Linked DNA regions of Arabidopsis thaliana. The protein of the gene in region 4 interacts with the protein of the main gene of each other region in a pairwise test. Each region holds a gene or a part of one and is shown on either strand. Other genes may lie near its edges.

What was found.
Region 1: the proteins of AT5G54067 (region 4) and AT4G00610 interact in a two-hybrid assay, tested with the Arabidopsis thaliana proteins (one large-scale study listed by BioGRID).
Region 2: the proteins of AT5G54067 (region 4) and AGL102 interact in a two-hybrid assay, tested with the Arabidopsis thaliana proteins (one large-scale study listed by BioGRID).
Region 3: the proteins of AT5G54067 (region 4) and AGL79 interact in a two-hybrid assay, tested with the Arabidopsis thaliana proteins (one large-scale study listed by BioGRID).

The regions. Positions count from the first base shown.
Region 1 is NC_003075.7:256,143-259,972, reverse strand, and holds AT4G00610 (DNA-binding storekeeper protein-related transcriptional regulator), read left to right. Parts: upstream 1-2,029; coding exon 2,030-3,016; downstream 3,017-3,830. Other genes in the region: EMB3127 (Amino acid dehydrogenase family protein), read left to right, coding at 1-157, 260-427, 538-708; AT4G00600 (Amino acid dehydrogenase family protein), read left to right, coding at 3,363-3,621, 3,731-3,828.
Region 2 is NC_003070.9:17,570,363-17,574,146, reverse strand, and holds AGL102 (AGAMOUS-like 102), read right to left. Parts: upstream 1,734-3,784; 5' UTR 1,697-1,733; coding exon 1,418-1,696; intron 1,264-1,417; coding exon 988-1,263; 3' UTR 774-987; downstream 1-773.
Region 3 is NC_003074.8:11,906,700-11,913,720, reverse strand, and holds AGL79 (AGAMOUS-like 79), read right to left. Parts: upstream 4,852-7,021; 5' UTR 4,603-4,851; coding exon 4,418-4,602; intron 2,709-4,417; coding exon 2,630-2,708; intron 2,523-2,629; coding exon 2,458-2,522; intron 2,358-2,457; coding exon 2,258-2,357; intron 2,081-2,257; coding exon 2,039-2,080; intron 1,473-2,038; coding exon 1,431-1,472; intron 1,232-1,430; coding exon 1,101-1,231; intron 947-1,100; coding exon 841-946; 3' UTR 555-840; downstream 1-554.
Region 4 is NC_003076.8:21,940,950-21,944,190, forward strand, and holds AT5G54067 (B3 domain protein), read right to left. Parts: upstream 1,198-3,241; coding exon 817-1,197; 3' UTR 653-816; downstream 1-652. Other genes in the region: HSFA9 (heat shock transcription factor A9), read left to right, coding at 3,069-3,241.

The DNA.
Region 1 (3,830 bases), on a different chromosome or scaffold from region 4:
GCTTGCCATGCGTGGAAGAGAACCCTTATTCGTTCCTTGTACTCCAAAAGGATGCATTGAGTTGTTGCATAGATACAACATTGAAATCAAAGGAAAGAGAGCGGTTGTTATCGGAAGGAGTAACATTGTCGGTATGCCAGCTGCTCTTTTACTGCAGGTAATGATGATGATACCTTCTTTAAGATGCCGTTTTTTCTGGTTGTGACATTCGAAAGTTAGTTACATGTTTGGTCTTTATTGTTGTGTTTTGTATTTGTAGAGGGAGGATGCAACCGTTAGCATTATCCATTCAAGAACCAAGAACCCTGAAGAAATCACAAGAGAAGCTGATATTATAATCTCAGCTGTTGGACAGCCAAACATGGTCAGAGGAAGCTGGATAAAACCGGGCGCAGTCCTCATCGATGTTGGGATTAATCCTGTTGAGGTGAGTGGAATTTTCTTTTTGACATATGGTCATGGCGTAATTCAGTGATATAATAAGTTTCAAATCAACCAGTATGCAACATTCATACATGTACATAATATGAATTGCAGGATCCAAGTGCTGCGCGTGGATATCGATTGGTTGGAGACATTTGCTACGAGGAGGCTAGCAAAGTTGCATCAGCCATCACACCTGTTCCTGGCGGTGTAGGACCAATGACCATAGCCATGCTTCTATCCAACACTTTAACATCAGCTAAGAGGATTCACAACTTCCAGTGACGTCACTTAAAAAGAAGATTGCTGGCCTTTTGGGAAACAAACAAATCGTACTCTGTTTTTTGAAGCCAATGATTTACTTTGGTCTTTAAAGAAAGTTATCGTTTTGTTCTATGAAACAAAACATGTAGTTTTTAAGTCACATAAATTGTCTTCAACATTGTTTGTCTCTTCTTGGTATTTTGAGTCAGAACTAGTTTTAACTTATCCCAGCTATGATATATCCCAGCCTCACCCATCGGTCTCTTCGTCATTATACTTTATTTATAACTACCTTTCAACGAAGGTTAATTTGAAACAAGAAAACACAGTCACTTGTTCTACATTACTTTTGTTAAACCCTAACTTGAGCTCGAAGCCACGACCACTGTTCTGTTTTCCTAGTAAAATAATGGCGTCGTTGATGTTAACCGATTGCTCCTTCTCCACGACCTCGCGTCTCATCGATTTGAACCGCCTCAACGGTGCTTTCCTGCCCCGCTGGTGCGTCAGCCAACTCAAGCTTTCCCACCACTGCGCCCGGACGTGGCCGCATGCGCTCCTCTTATACCACTGTGCCCGGACGTGGCCACATTCTCTCCATTCGCTCCTCTTGTATAGACTAAACCTTTTCATCCAATTGCTTACGTATTTTCAGATATCCAACTCTTAAGATTTTACTTTTCTGTTCAGCTGATGAGGCGATGGTATTTGATCAAACGGCTGTGGAACTAAGTATCATGCAGGAGATCAGAGTCGAAACTTCAAGAATGGAGAAACTAATCAGTCCTGGTTTAGCAGTAATCCTTTTTGGGGACAGAGAGTTCTCTGAAGAATATAAAGAAATTTAAACTCTAGCATCTTTGCTCCAAAAACAAACTCTATAGAGTTTAAATTTCTTTCTTCTTTTTTACAAAAGAGGGATTATAGTATTATACACCATAAACCCCGTAAAATTAAAAGAAGGTATTCAGTTACCAAAATCGGATTTAGTAGCATTTAGTTTTTTTGAATTTTAAATGTACACCATAAACCCCGTAAAATTAGTCAAAACAATTAATGTGATTTATGATAATTGTAATTAAATAAAAAAGATATTACTCGATTAGTAATTACTGATTAACTGAATCATTGATCTCATTAAACAATTAAAGAAAGATTACTCGATTAGTTAGCATTTAGTTTTAATTTTTTTAATATACTAAAAATACCAATCGGAAATTCAGTTACCAAAATTAGATTTATTAACATTTACTTTTTGAATTTTAGATGTACACCATAAACCCCGTAAAATTGGTCAAAGATTTATGATACTTGTAATTAAGGAAAGAACCAAATGCAATATATGGTTTCGGTGCAAAACCTTAAAACTGACCAACTTCTCAATTTTTTATTTAAAAACCCTACCAAATTTCTCTCTCGTTTCTCTCCGATGGCCAAGAACAAGACTTTGGTTACTCCATCAACGGTGAAGAAGTCATCTGACGTCGCATCTACGTCAAAGAAACTGTCGGGAGTCGCATCTCCAGCGAAGAAACCGTCGGGTGTCACATCTCCGGTCAAGAAGCCGTTGGAAGCCGTCGCATCAACTTCATCTGAGGAGGAGGAGGAAGATGAGCCTTCCAGCGATTCAGAGTCGGGATCGGAGAGTGAGTCTGACACTGAAGCTGAGCCGATGACTCTTGCTGCTGCTGCTCCTTCTTCTTCGAATGAGAAGAGACAAAGTGAAGGAAAACCAGAGGAGGAACGAGCCAAGACTGAAACAGAGACGGGGAAGAAGCCACTGTTGTTTCAGAGATTGTGGACTGATGAAGACGAGATCGTCTTTCTTCAAGGAATGATCAAATTTGCTAAGGATACAGGTAAGAATGTTTCCGAGGACATGAATGGCTTTTTCGAAAAACTTAAAGATTCGATTAGCTTTGAGGTGAAGACTGATCAGTTCGTTAACAAAATCCGGTCTATGAAGAGAAAGTATATTGAGAACAAGAAAACTACTACAGAGCATGATAAGAAGTGTTACGAATTGGCTGAGATAATTTGGGTAAGTGATGGTGATGCTACTGCTCTTGTGAAGCCAAAGAAGAAGAAGCTTAAGGTTGATGAAGAAAGTGATTGGTTCGAGAGGTCGTTTGTTGATGGTGCGTTTAAAGAATTGGGTCCGGGGGTTGATGAAGAGACATGGAAGAAGAATTGGAGTTTGGTACCGGTGAAGAAGAGGAAGAGGATAGAAGAAAAGGTGAAGTCCATGCAAGCTGATGAGCTCAAAACGACGTGGCAGAAGATTGACGTTGTGCATGAGATGAGATCTTTGATGGCTAAATATGTTTAGTCTTTATCTGTTTAGAGATGCATTTGCCTATGTTTTTCTTTTTGGTTTTGTGTTGGAACCTTTATGGCTTTCTCGTTTATTCATATGTTTTATGTTAAAGATGTTTTTTTGGATAACAAAAATAGGTGGTTTTTTGTTTGCATCTTAGTCTTCTTCCTTTGTTACTACAGACATGAAATCGTTAGATAATTATGATATGATATAAACTAATAATGATTCTAGGAGATAATTCCTAATGGATTTAAGATAAGTACATATCTTCTATATCTACCTTTACACACACGTTAACTTAGAAACAATCTACTTTGTTTTCTTCTGTTTGCCTAGTAAACAAATGGCGTCGATGATGTTTACTGATTGCTCCTCCTCCACAACGTCGCGTCTCATCCATTTATACAACCGCAATGGTGTTTTCCTCCCCCGCCCGAGCGTCAGCCAATTCAGCTTACGGACAACTGCGTCTACTTGGCGCTGCACTCTCTCCATTCGCTCCTCTTCTTCTCCATCTGCGATTGTAATTGATGGAAAGGCTGAGGCCAAAAAGATTAGAGATGATATCAAAATCGAAGTTTCAAGAATGAAGGAATCAATCGGTGTGGTTCCTGGTTTAGCAGTAATCCTTGTTGGAAAAGAACAAGGAATCCGCTACTTACGTGAGGAACAAGAAAATAGCTTGTGAATCCGTCGGAATTAAATCAGTCCAAGTTCGTCTAGCTGAAGATTCATCAGAAGAAGAGGTGTTGAAATATGTATCAGGATTCAATGATGATCCTTCTGTTCACGGAGTCCTTGTTCAGTTGCCTCTACCATCGGT
Region 2 (3,784 bases), on a different chromosome or scaffold from region 4:
CCTCTCTCTTGCTTCTTAGAAGTAAGTTCTTAGTTTAAAAACATCATACTGCTTAACATAGATAATTATATAGGTTAAACAAAAGCTCGATAAACGCATCAATGGCATCAACTTCCGATTCGGGCTACATCTCTATGGGGCTCACTCTAAAGATCGCGAATCAAGATCTAAACCTCGACGATTTTAAAGAATCCACCATCTTCTCATCTTCTGATCAAGCTTTCTCTAGATTTACTCATCATTTTCGGAGGATACGTCATCAATCGACTTCCCTCTTGGAAAGAACTTTTAAAATTGGGAAGACTGTGAAAAAGGGGATCGAAACCCTAAATTTTTATTAATTTGGGCATTTTGTTATAACCTATAGAAATATGTATGTTTCTGAGAACATATAAATAACTGCGAGCTAAGTCGGTAAAGGAAAGTTGTTATATCTCACAGGTTGCGGGTTCAATTCCTCAACTTGTAAAAAAAAAAAGAAATTGAAACGACGTTGTTTTATAAGTTAACAGAATTTATAACCGAAGACTTAATTCTGTTAATTTCCCGTAATTTTGGCTCGTTTAAGTCTTAAATAATATCTTATGACAAAAAAAAGACTTAATTCTGTTATTTTTTTCGTCAGTTGACGTAACGTTTTACCCGAAATGGCAAAATCAACGAAAGTTATCTATTTAATTCTAAAGTCAACAATAACTTTGGTATTTAAGTGACATTTCGAAAATTCATGTTTTTTTGTTCTAAATTTGAAAGTTCACATTTTTTTGACATATTTTCCAAAATTATCACATATATTGTATATTATTTATATATAAAAAACATTTCATTACGAAAATCCGATTGAAAAGATAACAAGATGGAGGACACAACTTCCTTCAAACTAAAGCAACCAAAATTTATTCCTTAAACTTTTGGAAAGAAAAATAAACGGTAATTGATTTATATGATATAAATAATTATATATTTATATTTATTTTGACGATTGTTCTAAATAGTTCCAAGAAATCCTGGGCCGAAAGCCCGAAACTCATACATTCCTTTGCTCTGTCCAGACGAATACTCGGTCCTCATCATCTTATTCTTTGTATTCTTTGAGAGTATCGATGGAGAAGACAAATCCTCCATCTCTACATGTTTCCTCTTTAAACCTGCTTGATAGGCCTCGAGTTTCGCCTTGAAAGCAACTAAGTCCTCCAATTTCAGATCTACATTCTCTTTCATATTGGACTTTTCAAGGTTTCTTTGCTGTTTCTTCCTCAAATCCTAAAATTGACAAAAAAAATATTATATAATATAAAATAAATAATGATTATTTAATTCTGTGTATAATAGCAAACCCATCTTTGTAATCTATATGTTGAGAACGAAGAAGAAGGAAAACTAACGGATGAGATTATATTAATGATGGGAAACATACCTCCTGAAACTCTTTGATTTGTTCCAATTCTTTCATGAGACTCCTGAGTTTGGACGAAGCACTAGGATTTTGAATACGCTCAACCACATCGTTGAAGCATGGATAACCGTATGTGTATGGTATATTAGTGGGGGAGATGACCAAGACAGCAATCTCTACATTACACAACTTCGCGAGTTCATCAGCCTTCTTAAAAATGCCATTTCGGCGTCTTGAAAACGTCGCTTTCCTTTCGATGCTATCTTCAATAAATTTTATCTCTATTTTTCTACGACCCATTTCTTAGTTTTAGAGAGATGTTTTTGTTGTTGGTGTTGTTTTTGTTACTACTCTACTCCATTTTATAGATGGATTGGTTCAAGTAGGTTTAACGCATTAATTATAATTTTTTATCTTTGTTATCCTTTTTTTATTAAAATATTTGAATTTACCTTTTAAATATATTTATCTTTTAACTACTACCATAAATATCTTTATAACTCTGACTACACAAATTTATCATAATAGTCAAGAGTTGGTATTCCAAACAAATTCTTAAGATATATTTTCTGAAGAAAGTATAAATTTTGTAATGCTTATCTTTCATTAGAAAATATTTAGGAAAAATACAAATTTTGTAATAATTATAAATTAGATTTAGTATCTCTACATATCATTCCATATATACAAATTTTATTTTAAAATGCAAACTCACACGCGTCAAACATGCGCACTAGCCACGACATATCAATAAAATGAAAATAAAAAACTGATGAAACTTGGTAACAACTTTTTCTAAATTAAAAGGAGTTTTTTATTTTATTATTTCATGTTTTGTTTTCACTCACACGGATCCGACAATAATCACTTCTCCTAAATTCACCCATCAAAAGACATAGGTGTCAAAATCAATTCTTTTAAACATTTCTACATGCATCACCATATTTCATGAAACTAAAGTGTTACAATTCATCCCTCTAGCAGATCGTATCGTCCTGGTTGCGCATCAAGACCGTCACAATCGACTTTGTTAACCCTCTTAACTCCACATTCGTCTGGGTTTGGCTCTGATACCGTTTGTAACTCCCCGACCTCCATCTTTCTTAGTGACCCCACGTCCTCTCTCGGCTCACGGGCTCACTCTTACCCGATAGCCGATCCATTACGTTTACGAGGCTTTAAAGGCTTGTTTACCGATCCTACATATCACCACATTATATTTTCTCGTGTTTTATCCTCGCTCATATACAGTTGCGACAATCACTTCTTGGAAGGTCATTCCCTGTAATTTTTCTAACTTAAGCACGCTTAATTATGAAGTTCTTTTCAGATGTTTGACTGAAAATAAGTGCAATTTGATGATATAGGTGGTCAAATCAAATTTTTAAAACTTCTCTGCATGCACCACCATATTTTGTGAAACCAGGGTGTTACAAAAGGTCAAATAAATTGATGTGGATATCGAATTAGAAGATTCCTCATGTGATGCACAAGATGTGTTGGATGGACCCACATCCAACTAGAAGATTCCTCACCCGATACACCAGAGGTGTTGGATGGATCTGTGATTCGACCATGCAATCGAAAACCCTAAAACAAGTTCAGTGCAAATCTAGAGACCCTATTTAACTCCATGGAATTTTAGCTGGAGCACCAACTTTCCGTACTGAGCTGTTTTTCAGCCGAAGACCCATGAAAAATATCTACATTAATCAACTCGACAACGAAACGTTAGAGGATATATTCAAAAATACTTTACCGGCAACATCAGTTAGCAATCTACGACAAATGACATGGCGATCCGAGACCAATGGACTAAGGCTTCAAAAATCATCGAAAATTCATGCATTGTAAAGGGAATAGTCTAACCGAAATCATGCATTATCAAACTCGTTTTGGAGATGAACAACATGAGCATTATGACAACCTTACATGTAGCCGATAACATGTCTTTTATTGAGTTAAAGTGCGTTTCAAGATTTTCTTTAATCCTTTACAGGTTTTAGATTGATATGGAGGAAAAAACATTTTGGGATGCAAACACGCATTTGGAGATGTGAGATCATGTATAAGGGTTTGGAGTTTCGCGTCATGTGGAAGATTTTCCACCGTTATATCTTCCTCATATTGTGATACAAGCTAGGTGATGATCTTTGCTTTTATTTCCAAGTGATTTGAAGAAAATCTAACAGTGAAATAAGACGTTATGGCCAATCTACTTAAGACATGTCAATCAGATGAAACTGGTGTGGAAACTGATCCAGACAATCAGAGACCGATAGGTCTATATATACTTGGGACCGATCAGTCCACCTTCATTTTTGAGTCGACCCTAGTAGGTCAAAGGAAGATATAATAATAAGGTCCCTATGCAGCCAATGTATTGAC
Region 3 (7,021 bases), on a different chromosome or scaffold from region 4:
TATTTGCTACATGGCCAAAAGAAAAGTTTTTATATATAAAAGAAAAATAAATTAGACAAATGGAAAAACACAAAATGAAATATATCGAAGTTTGATTTATTCAAGACAAACTATAATATATCGATAAATAAAAGATAACAATGGACAAATGGCAACATAAAGGTCTAAATTAAACCAAGACATCGTCTTATGTATATGAAATACTTTAATCTATAGTTTTTAAGTCACACTTTTTCATATGACAAATGTTTCTATCTCCCGGAAAAAATGAAATTCAATGCAGAGAATCAATATTTCTTTCTCCGGCGATGCTAAGGCGTGGAGGAATCGCGTGGCGAGGCAGAGTCGTAAATTGGTTCACACGGCTTAGTGTGAGGACGACTCTTGAATGGCATATTTAATAGTCAAGACTATTTGAAAAAAATATCGTAATTACTTTTAGAAAATTACCAAACATTGTCAAGTATTTTGTTTTAGCAAAATCTGTTTACAAAACGCTTCTAAAATAGATTAAACGTTTTCTCCTACCTTCTATAGAAATTAATATGTCATAAAAAATATAGTTTATAGTTCTTTTCTTCTTTTTCATTACACTGAAATTACATTTTTCACAAACAGTAAAGTGAAAATCGTAGATACAATATACAAAATCACATTAGACATACAATGTTTCTAAATTCGTTCAAAGTTTGAAACTTGAGGGCCTCTTAAGCCTGTTCCTAGAATGCCAAGCCAGAAGATATTTTCTTTTATTCGGATTGGTTCTACTTAACTCAAGAAGTTATTCCGGTACTATATATTAAGTACAGAAAATTAAAAAACCAAGATTGTTTCGGACCTCTATTCTCCGGTGAGCTGGGGCATCCAATGAGGCAACGTTGCATTCGTCCTTCGAATTAGGGTTCCGGCAGCTACTTCTCCAACTCCATCCCTTTGTGATGTATCCCTATAAGCAGTTTATTAATTCATCTCATATACACGATAAATAAATATTGATACAAACTATAATATGTTACCTTACTATCATTGATCAACACTAACAAATTATCATTTATATTTTTACTATCTTTGTAGCTATGTGAAATCAAACTTTAAAGTACCCCGAAGATAAAGGAGGAGGAGGAGGAGATATTGTCCGGCGAAGCTCATGGGGTGATTCAAATGGCGGTGTTGCCAAGGAGGCTAAGTCATGGCTGAGGTTTTGCGTTTGAAAGTCTTCCCTTTCACCAGCCTGCCAAATTCAATACTTGTTATAGTTACTATTTACCAGTCACCGATTGCTTAACATTCAAATATAAATTTAAAATCGACACTTGATTGAGAGAGTTCAAACTAGCGCCTAGACTAATCTCTCTTAAAAGTTAAGTGAATTCTACATTTTATAAGAAACTGGTTATATATATAGTCAAAGATTCTAACATCACTTTCACCTTCTTTGTTAGCTGTTTCTTCAGTTCTTTTAGTTCCTTCTCCTATGCCATCAAAAGAAAAGACACATATTTATTAGTTTAACTCATATCGAGTCAAGTATTCAAGATCTAGTATATGTATTTGTGTTTATTTCTCAAAATCAAAGACTACTAATTGTGAAGATCTACTATAAGTATAATGTTTTGTACAAACCCGAAAAGAAAAAAAAGACAGGCAGATACATGAGTTTGCATGGCAAAAGTAGTCCTAGGCAAAATAACCAAACTCTAACCAAACCGAGAGGAACTTAATAGAAAAACGAACCAAAATTCGTAAATATCCGAATGGATTATAACTTCATAACTGAAAGAACGGGAACCAGACTGAAATATTCAGCGAATCGAAATACATTTTATACACCTAAAATAATTAGTTATTTTTAGACCGAATAACCAAAAATACTCGAAATACCAAAAGTTAGGTGGAAACAATATCCAAAACAATTACTTGAATGGATCCTAAACTCAAAAACCAAAAAATAGAACCAAACTAAAACCGGACCCGTAAACTCAAACGTCCAGGCCTAGGCACAACCATAACAACGATAGTCTCTTAATTAGTGTATTACCTTTTTCTGAAGCTGTGCTATGGACTCTACCATGAGCTGGTTCTGTGCTCCCAAACCAAAACAATAATTACTACATGATTAGGTGTAGTTTATCTATATATCTGTGTATATTTATGCATACACAAACTGCACATTATTAGATATACACATTTGTATATACAAATGATCCATGCATGTATAGAAAATATACTACAATGTTTTTGTATACATATAAATAACCTTTCTAGAGCGAGTTTTCTTGAGGGCAGTATCAAGTTGCATCTCCACACCTTGAAGGTCTCTGATACTTAGACCATCCACCTCTTCTCCTCTTAAGTGCCTTATAATTTGATAAAGATGCAATTTCTTATCTTGTACATATTTAGATATCTTAGGTATGTATTTTATGTTTGGATGATACGTAAGTAATAAGTCCTTACCTCAGGCTTCTTTGCAGGACATCAATCATCCTCAAGAGCTTTGAACATTCTGTTGAGCACTCTCCCTACAAATGATAAAAAGATCGATACACGATAGTTAAGTTTACCATAAACATACCATAAACAATGATTCATATATATATACTCATATGTCTTAAATGTGCTTAAGAACCTGTGAATCCAAATTTGGTGTAGGAATATCTTGACCGGCGTAGGCAGACCTCTCATATCGATCAAGAATTCTCTCCATGCTAAAAAAATAGTATATCAAACAACAATCAACACTCGATGTATATACTATCATCACTCAACAAATACATTGAAGATATTGAATAATCATTTTTGTACTTTAGTTGAAACATTTCTAAATTAATTTAAGCTCTATATCGAGAACTTTAATCTACATTTGCAAACAATTTGATACATTAATTGAATGTATTGATTAGACTATAGCAATCGATACACCAAGTCTACTCAAATTTTGTTAAAATATGTTTGCAAGCAAATTCATTTTTGAACATTCTAGTTAAGCCTACAAGCTAGAAAAGTAGCTTCATGGGTTTGTATATTTTCATGTGACGATCGAGGTTAGTCCTAGGTTCCGCCAACCAAAAGACAAAGCAATGCACAAAGCTCTATACAAAGGCTTGTCATGCTTCCAATTTCCAACAAGATTTTAGCTGTATATCTTAAATTTTTATTTTAACATAATCAAATCAAAGTTTCATGTTTACTATTATTAGTTACTACAATCATGATCGAAAGCTGACTCTTCTATTTATAGTAGATTTCTTGTCCCTCTTTAGTATGTTTGTGTATATTGAGATAATTGTTTTTCTTTTGGTGTGTCGTTCATTTTGATCCAATGATACCGCATTAGATATTACATGAACCTTGGAGATAATTTAGACGGTGTCATCACAAATTATGTCTCCTAGTATTTTACTGTTCTGTTTTGACAATTACTAAAAAAAAAAAAATCGTCATCTTAAAATTGGATTTATTTTTCAAAAATTAAATTGCTATTATTTACAGTTCATTTCTTTTATATTAAATTCTCTGATAAATAATGTTTTGTTATTACCAGAATATGTTCAGTTAGTTAAAACCACCAAAATTATTTTGTATTATAGTCAACATTTTATTTTTATTTTAGTCAACATTCAATTTTATTTTTAAGTAAAATGTAAATAGCAGATTTATTCCAAAAGAAGAACATTAAAATTATTTTGATTCAAGAACCCTTTTTAAAATTCGTTTTCCTTGAATTTATTATATTTTTCCTTGAAATAAATAAAATGAAGTCTCCTATGAGTGCCAAAGTAAGCTAACTTTGAGCATTAGATCTACTTGTTTGATCCTAAGCCTGCAGGTGTTAATTCTAAAGTTTTTTTGTACACTTTGTATTAAATATCTCTTTAAACTTATGTAGATCATGTTTTAATTATCTCCAGAACGTTGAAGAACAAACTTACACAACAATGAAATGAAAGATCTCTCTTTATTCATGATATGTTCAACATATATACATATGTCCTCAAGAATCAAATTATATTAATACGTATATTATTTCGTAATCATGTTTGCCCAATTAGCACATTCTTCCATCATATTTTTTGGATAATATATAATCTGTGGAACTGTTATGTCTCACAATTATTTTTTGATGCGATCATCTCTATTAATCACTTCTTTTGATTTAATATATAGTATTGTACAATCATTCATTTTTTATGATCTTCTCTAAGTTAGAGATGGAAGAACTAAACAAAATTGGCTATAAACTGATTTAATTAATTAAACAATCTCAGCCAATTTCAAATCAATCTCCTCTATGTGAAACCTATATATACCACTTTTCCCAATATGTCAAACATGAAATATAGGCTAATATTTATGTAGATAAATATGCGATCTTAAAATAAGTTGGTAAATTAATTAGCTTAGGAAAGATTCAAACCTGGAACCAGCAGAGTACTCAAAGAGTTTGCCTTTGGGGGAGAAAACAATCAAAGCAACTTCAGCATCACATAACACTGAGATCTCTTGAGCTTTCTTTACCAAACCGGTCCTTCGCTTTGAAAATGTCACTTGTCTCCTTATCTTATTCTCGATCCGCCGTAGCTGAACCCTTCCTCTTCCCATATCTACAAAAATTCTTCTCAGGTTTCTTGGAAACAAAAGAGAGAGCTAAAAGAAGAACTTGGAAATTTGACCACCTAAAGAAGAAAGAAGAAGTAGTAGAAGAAACCCTAGATTCTCTTAAAAAGAAGAAAAGTGGAGTTTGATGAGAAATTACGCGAAGATTTGATTTAATTTTCTATTTTTGTGAACTTATTCATATACATATATTTATACACACAAAAGGCATATGGAGGGAAAAAGAGAAAGTATCAAATGATACATTTAGGGAAAGGGAGAGCAGAAAACAAGTATTTATGTCTTTGTGTCCGAAATAGTCTTGACGATCAATTATTATTATTGGTGAATGAAGTTAATAATTAACCCAAGTTGCTGGTTTGGCTCCTGCGATTTCAATATAGAACCTGTAATTACCAAGATCAAAGTTCTATTAACAAATGCTGCTGTGATACGATTGGTTCTTTTGACCATATATGATATAAAATATAAGAATGGATAAGAAGATACATATAGTAAAATAATAATAAAGAGCTTGACCTATTACAATGTAAACCACCACAAAGAGCTTGACCTATTACAATGTTATTTTTGTACTTTCATAACAAATATGTACTTACTAAATAGATTGAAAATAAAAATATATTGTATATATATATATATATATATATATATATATATATATATATATATATATATATATATATATATATTCATCATCGATTACGAAAACTTCACCAGAGATTTTACCATGTTGCATCTTATGATCATGGTTTATGTGTACGGTTAAATTTTACATTGTGGATGTGGTTCAGGTGGAGCTGTCTTGTAGATCAATGGACTACCAACTTGGAGAGTTGTTTTAAATGAGATTTTAATACTTTTTAAAGTGTTTCTATAAAATAATTAGTGCTTGCTTTTTATTATTATTATATATATTACTATTAGTATTATATATTATTATTATATTTATATTCTGTTACAAGCGAACCATAGTTAACAATTTTCAACATACTGATCCACAATTGACAGTTTTACCTGAACTATATCTACAATGGCTGAGTTTAGTCATTGGTCTTAATACATATACGGAGATACATGAATGTGATATATCATTCTTGAAATGTCTAACAGAAGCACCGATGAAGTTGGTCCCTATTCTTAACGTATGGTTATTGCAATAAGTATATGTATGGTTATATGAGGGATTATGTACTAACAAAAATCGACAGAACTTTAAGTGCATTCTACGTTTCTCTTCCATCCTAAAATTTGAACCTCAAAATTGATACAATAATTTAAACCAGAATTTTGATCCACCACTATAGATTTTTATAATAAATATATTTTCTCTTTTTGAAAATTACACTTAATATTTTCTTAGCTCAATATATAATTTTTTAAAAAAAAATCATTATATAAAGAACAGTCAACTTGGTTGACTTTGGAAATAAACAATAAAAGACAATTTCCGTGGTCATTTTTCGTATATGTTTTTTGTGGTATGATTTTGGCAGAAAATAGAAATATAGATGAAGATGAGTTTAGGATTTTGAAAATGAGGACACCTTGTTTAGAATGTAGGTTAAATAGAATTGAAGAAGGGTTTAAACATTAAATATCACGGAATAGATTGGTTAATGGTAAACTGAGAAAAAAATAGGTATTTTAAAATTGAGGAAACCAAATATGTTATAGTAGAGATTTCATAATAATTATCTTTTTAACATTTTCACATCGACAAGGTCCAATGCATAGTCAATCTTTACTCTGCAGGATAACGCGACTTAGTAGAGTCTAACTCCAGTGGAGAAGGTGGAGTAAAATGGACTTAACAACGTAGTGAAATTTCTTAATAATTCTTGAACAGGACATTAAGTAGATATTGTTTTCTTATTTATTTTATATGCATTTCAAGTATATACAAATTTCATTAAAAATCTCTAGAAGAATGAGAGAAATAAGTCTAAAAAGTTTGTGTAGCTTGGATAACCACTTTTTTCTATTGAACAAATTATATCTTACGTTAGTGTTAGTTTAAGAATATCTTCCACTCTCCAAGTGATATTCTTTAAAACAGATTAAAAAACTTTCAACTTCTTCAAACTATAACAATCATATATATCTCAAATTGAACCTTAATTCATAAAAGAAAACAAAATCCCAATTTCATATTAGTTTCTTAAAACTTGACCGTCCATTGCATCATATGAGGTTTTGCAGAGCCAAAAATTAGCATCCATAAGTTAGAAAACCAGCCAATGTCATTTGATATCTTGAGTTTCTGATTTGAACTTCATAATTTATGAAGACCTAATTTTATGAATATGATTCGAGATTGGTACCGATGGATTTGCATCTTCATGAGAATTCAAAATGAGCTAGGGGTCTACCTCTAACTCTAGCAACAAAACAAAAAGAACAA
Region 4 (3,241 bases):
CTTGCAAAGGTTTTGCCACCACATGTTACGGTCGGGTTTTCAGCCGCTACTGGATCGGTCACAGAGGGACATAAGCTTTTATCATGGGAGTTCATCTCAAGTTTGGATATTGAGGTTTGTTTATAAGGATCTTGTTTTAGCTACCAACAGATTCTCAGCCCAGAGGAAGCTTGGTGAAGGAGGGTTTGGGGCAGTTTATAGATGGTACTTGAACGAAATAGATATGATGGTTGCTGTGAAGAAATTGTCTGGTGGTTCCAAGCAGTGAAAGAAAGAGTTTGTAACCGAAGTTAAGATCATTAGCAAACTGCGTCATCGAAACCTGGTGCAGCCCATTGTGTTGGTGTAATGAAAAAGATGAGTATTTGCTTATATAGGAGTTCATGCCGAATGGTAGCTTGGACACTCACCTCTTTGAGAAAAGACCCCTTATCTCACCTAGGACACACAGATCTTCACGGAGAGGGAGATCGGTGTGTGTTGCATAGGGACATCAAGGCAAGCAATATCATGTTGGACATCAATTTCAATGTAAAAGTAGGTGACTTTGGGCTGGCTCGATTGATGGACCATGAACTAGGCTCACATACAATAGCGCTAGCAGGAAATTACATAATTGTCAAAGACTTTTGTCTGTGTGTGGACATGTGTAGGGCAAGTGAACCACGTTTTATTGAAATTCAAATTCAAGATAATCCAATCAAGTTTGACAAAAGAGAAACAAAAAGATAGGGCAAAAAAAGCCAGCACTTAACTAGGATATGAAATCCAAAACATAAATAGTCAAAAACAGAAAAGAAGATAGGTGCAAGCGAGCTACACTGGAATCATTAATGGAAGTACTGAATACTGAAAATTCAAAACAACGAACTTGTTGTCCAAGTGACTCCAGTAGAGTTTCAGAACATCGCCTTCTGAGAGATCTAACGAATGCTTCATAGTACTCCAACCAGTACCGAAATAATATTTAGGTTTATCGATACCTGATACTTTGAGCGTAACTGTGTATAAGTCGTCTTCCATTATGTCGTCGACTTGCACTTCAACACCGTTTAGCAAATCTTGGTCGTTAACATTCATCCTCGTGAGGACAGACATCACTTCTGCTTTCGGTAATACCACATTACCAACGATATCACTCTTTGATAGCACTTTTGTTATGATCATAGCCGGTTCCAATGGATCGTTGTAATTCATCTTGCTTAATTTTTTTTATATTTCTTACGTTCTCTATTCAAACATATATATAGGAGATTTAGCCTAAGAAAAAAGGTAAAATACAAAAGAGAAAAAATCAGAACTCTTTTTGAAACAAATTAGAAAATTGTCTAAATATCTAGATTTCTCTTAATATGGAATTGGAAAGTAAACTTTTTGCAAAATATTAGATTTAGATAACTTTCACTTGGTAAATTGAGAATAAAGTTTTGTGCAAATTATTGATTTAGATCATTTCCATTTCTATTCTCAATCTCTTTTTGAGCGTTCCAACCAATTACATTGCTGCCCCGAACCAATATAATATTTACAATAGTATCATAGCCGGCTCCAATGGATCGTTGTAATCCATTATGGACCGCCCAACTTCAGCCCACAAAAGAAATTGTCCACACGAAAACGCTCAATAATCTATAAACGGACCATTTGACATATTTAAGTGTTTTGCAAGCCCAAAGTAATCATATTCACTCAACAAAAAGTATAAAAAATCTGAAATTTAATTTAGGTCGTTGCTAAGCTTGTTGTAGGGTACGTACGTTTGGGAGCATTTTAATTAGAATAAGATTAGAAATTTAGAATAGTTTTAATCCTCCGAAACTTTTTGTAGTACGGACTTTTGGGAGCATTTTTATGAGTCGTGCCAATCTTGCAAAAGGACCCATGCAGAGCAACAAATTTGGTTGTGGCATGTCGGTTAGGTAGCCCAAAAGCTTCATTTTATATTAGTTATAAACTTTGCTGTTATATAGTTAGTAAAGTTTAGTCAGTAAAGTAGACTGTTACTTCTTTTAGTACTTTGAATACATCTTATTTACTACAATGTTAACAGTCAACATGGTATAAATTCTATTCCATGTTTTGTTTCAAAGGTTGACATAACGGACGAATTTTAAAATGTAACTATTGTAATAAACAGTAATGAGTATTAACTTGAGTTACTCTATACAATTGTTTGTTTCTTGTGATAACCAAAGCCATCACAATCAAACATTTCACTCTTAAAACAAGGAAACAGTAAGTGCAATGGAAGGTAGGATCCAAGTGCTTCTCTCGCAACGATTGTTTGGTTGATTCTCGTAAAAATGTGAGTATATGAAAGAGGAAGTTAGACCGATGCAATGGTTGCAATGTGAGCATAGTCGAATTTCACCTGCCATGGTGTTTCTTCCTTTTTCATCTTCCCACCGGATTCACTCAAGGCTCGTCGTTTAATCCATTATCGCCTATGTAACCGTCGCTTCTTCACCTGCGGCCACAACCAATGCAACCGCTATAACAAGTTTGTTTTTGATCTCTTTATCGACCATTAAGTCTCTTTATATATTCCTTAAAACTCTATATTGCATTTTGATTTTCTAGTGCGTATAACATTGACGTTACAGTAAAAATTTCTAGTTTTAATATTCACAAGCATGGCTGCTATTTCAATTCAATATAAGTTTTATCATCGTCTACAATAATATATGAATTTTATCATCATATAGAAGAATAACAGAGCTCTGATCACAGACTCACAGCCCTGTAACTCTAGCTAACAAAATTATCTTTTAACTCTCTTCTTTATTAAAAAAAAAGCACTTGCATAGTAGCATTTTAACTGATGTATATGCTTTCCCTAAGCGACACTTGTCCTCATGCATGAAATCAAATTCAATGGACGACCGATTCATCTTGACCGACCACAAAGATCCAACGGCTAGCTGGAGATATACAGGTGTTAATAAATTGTTATATTCCAAAAAAATGGGTTATAATGTGGCAGCTTTTTGATAGTAACACTGATGTATTTCTTACAATAAACGACCAAAAAGTTAATACAAGAAATAGAAACGGTGTAGGAAGCTACTATGACGGCAATTCCAAACGTCGTCGATATTGAATCTTCTTCCTCTTCGCTTTGTCAAGAGACGGCAACGGAGACCGTCACCGTTGAAAGAGGCTCGTCTGATTCATCTTCAAAGCCAGACGACGTCGTTTTACTAATCAAGGAAGAGGAGGATGACGCCGTTAACTTGTCACT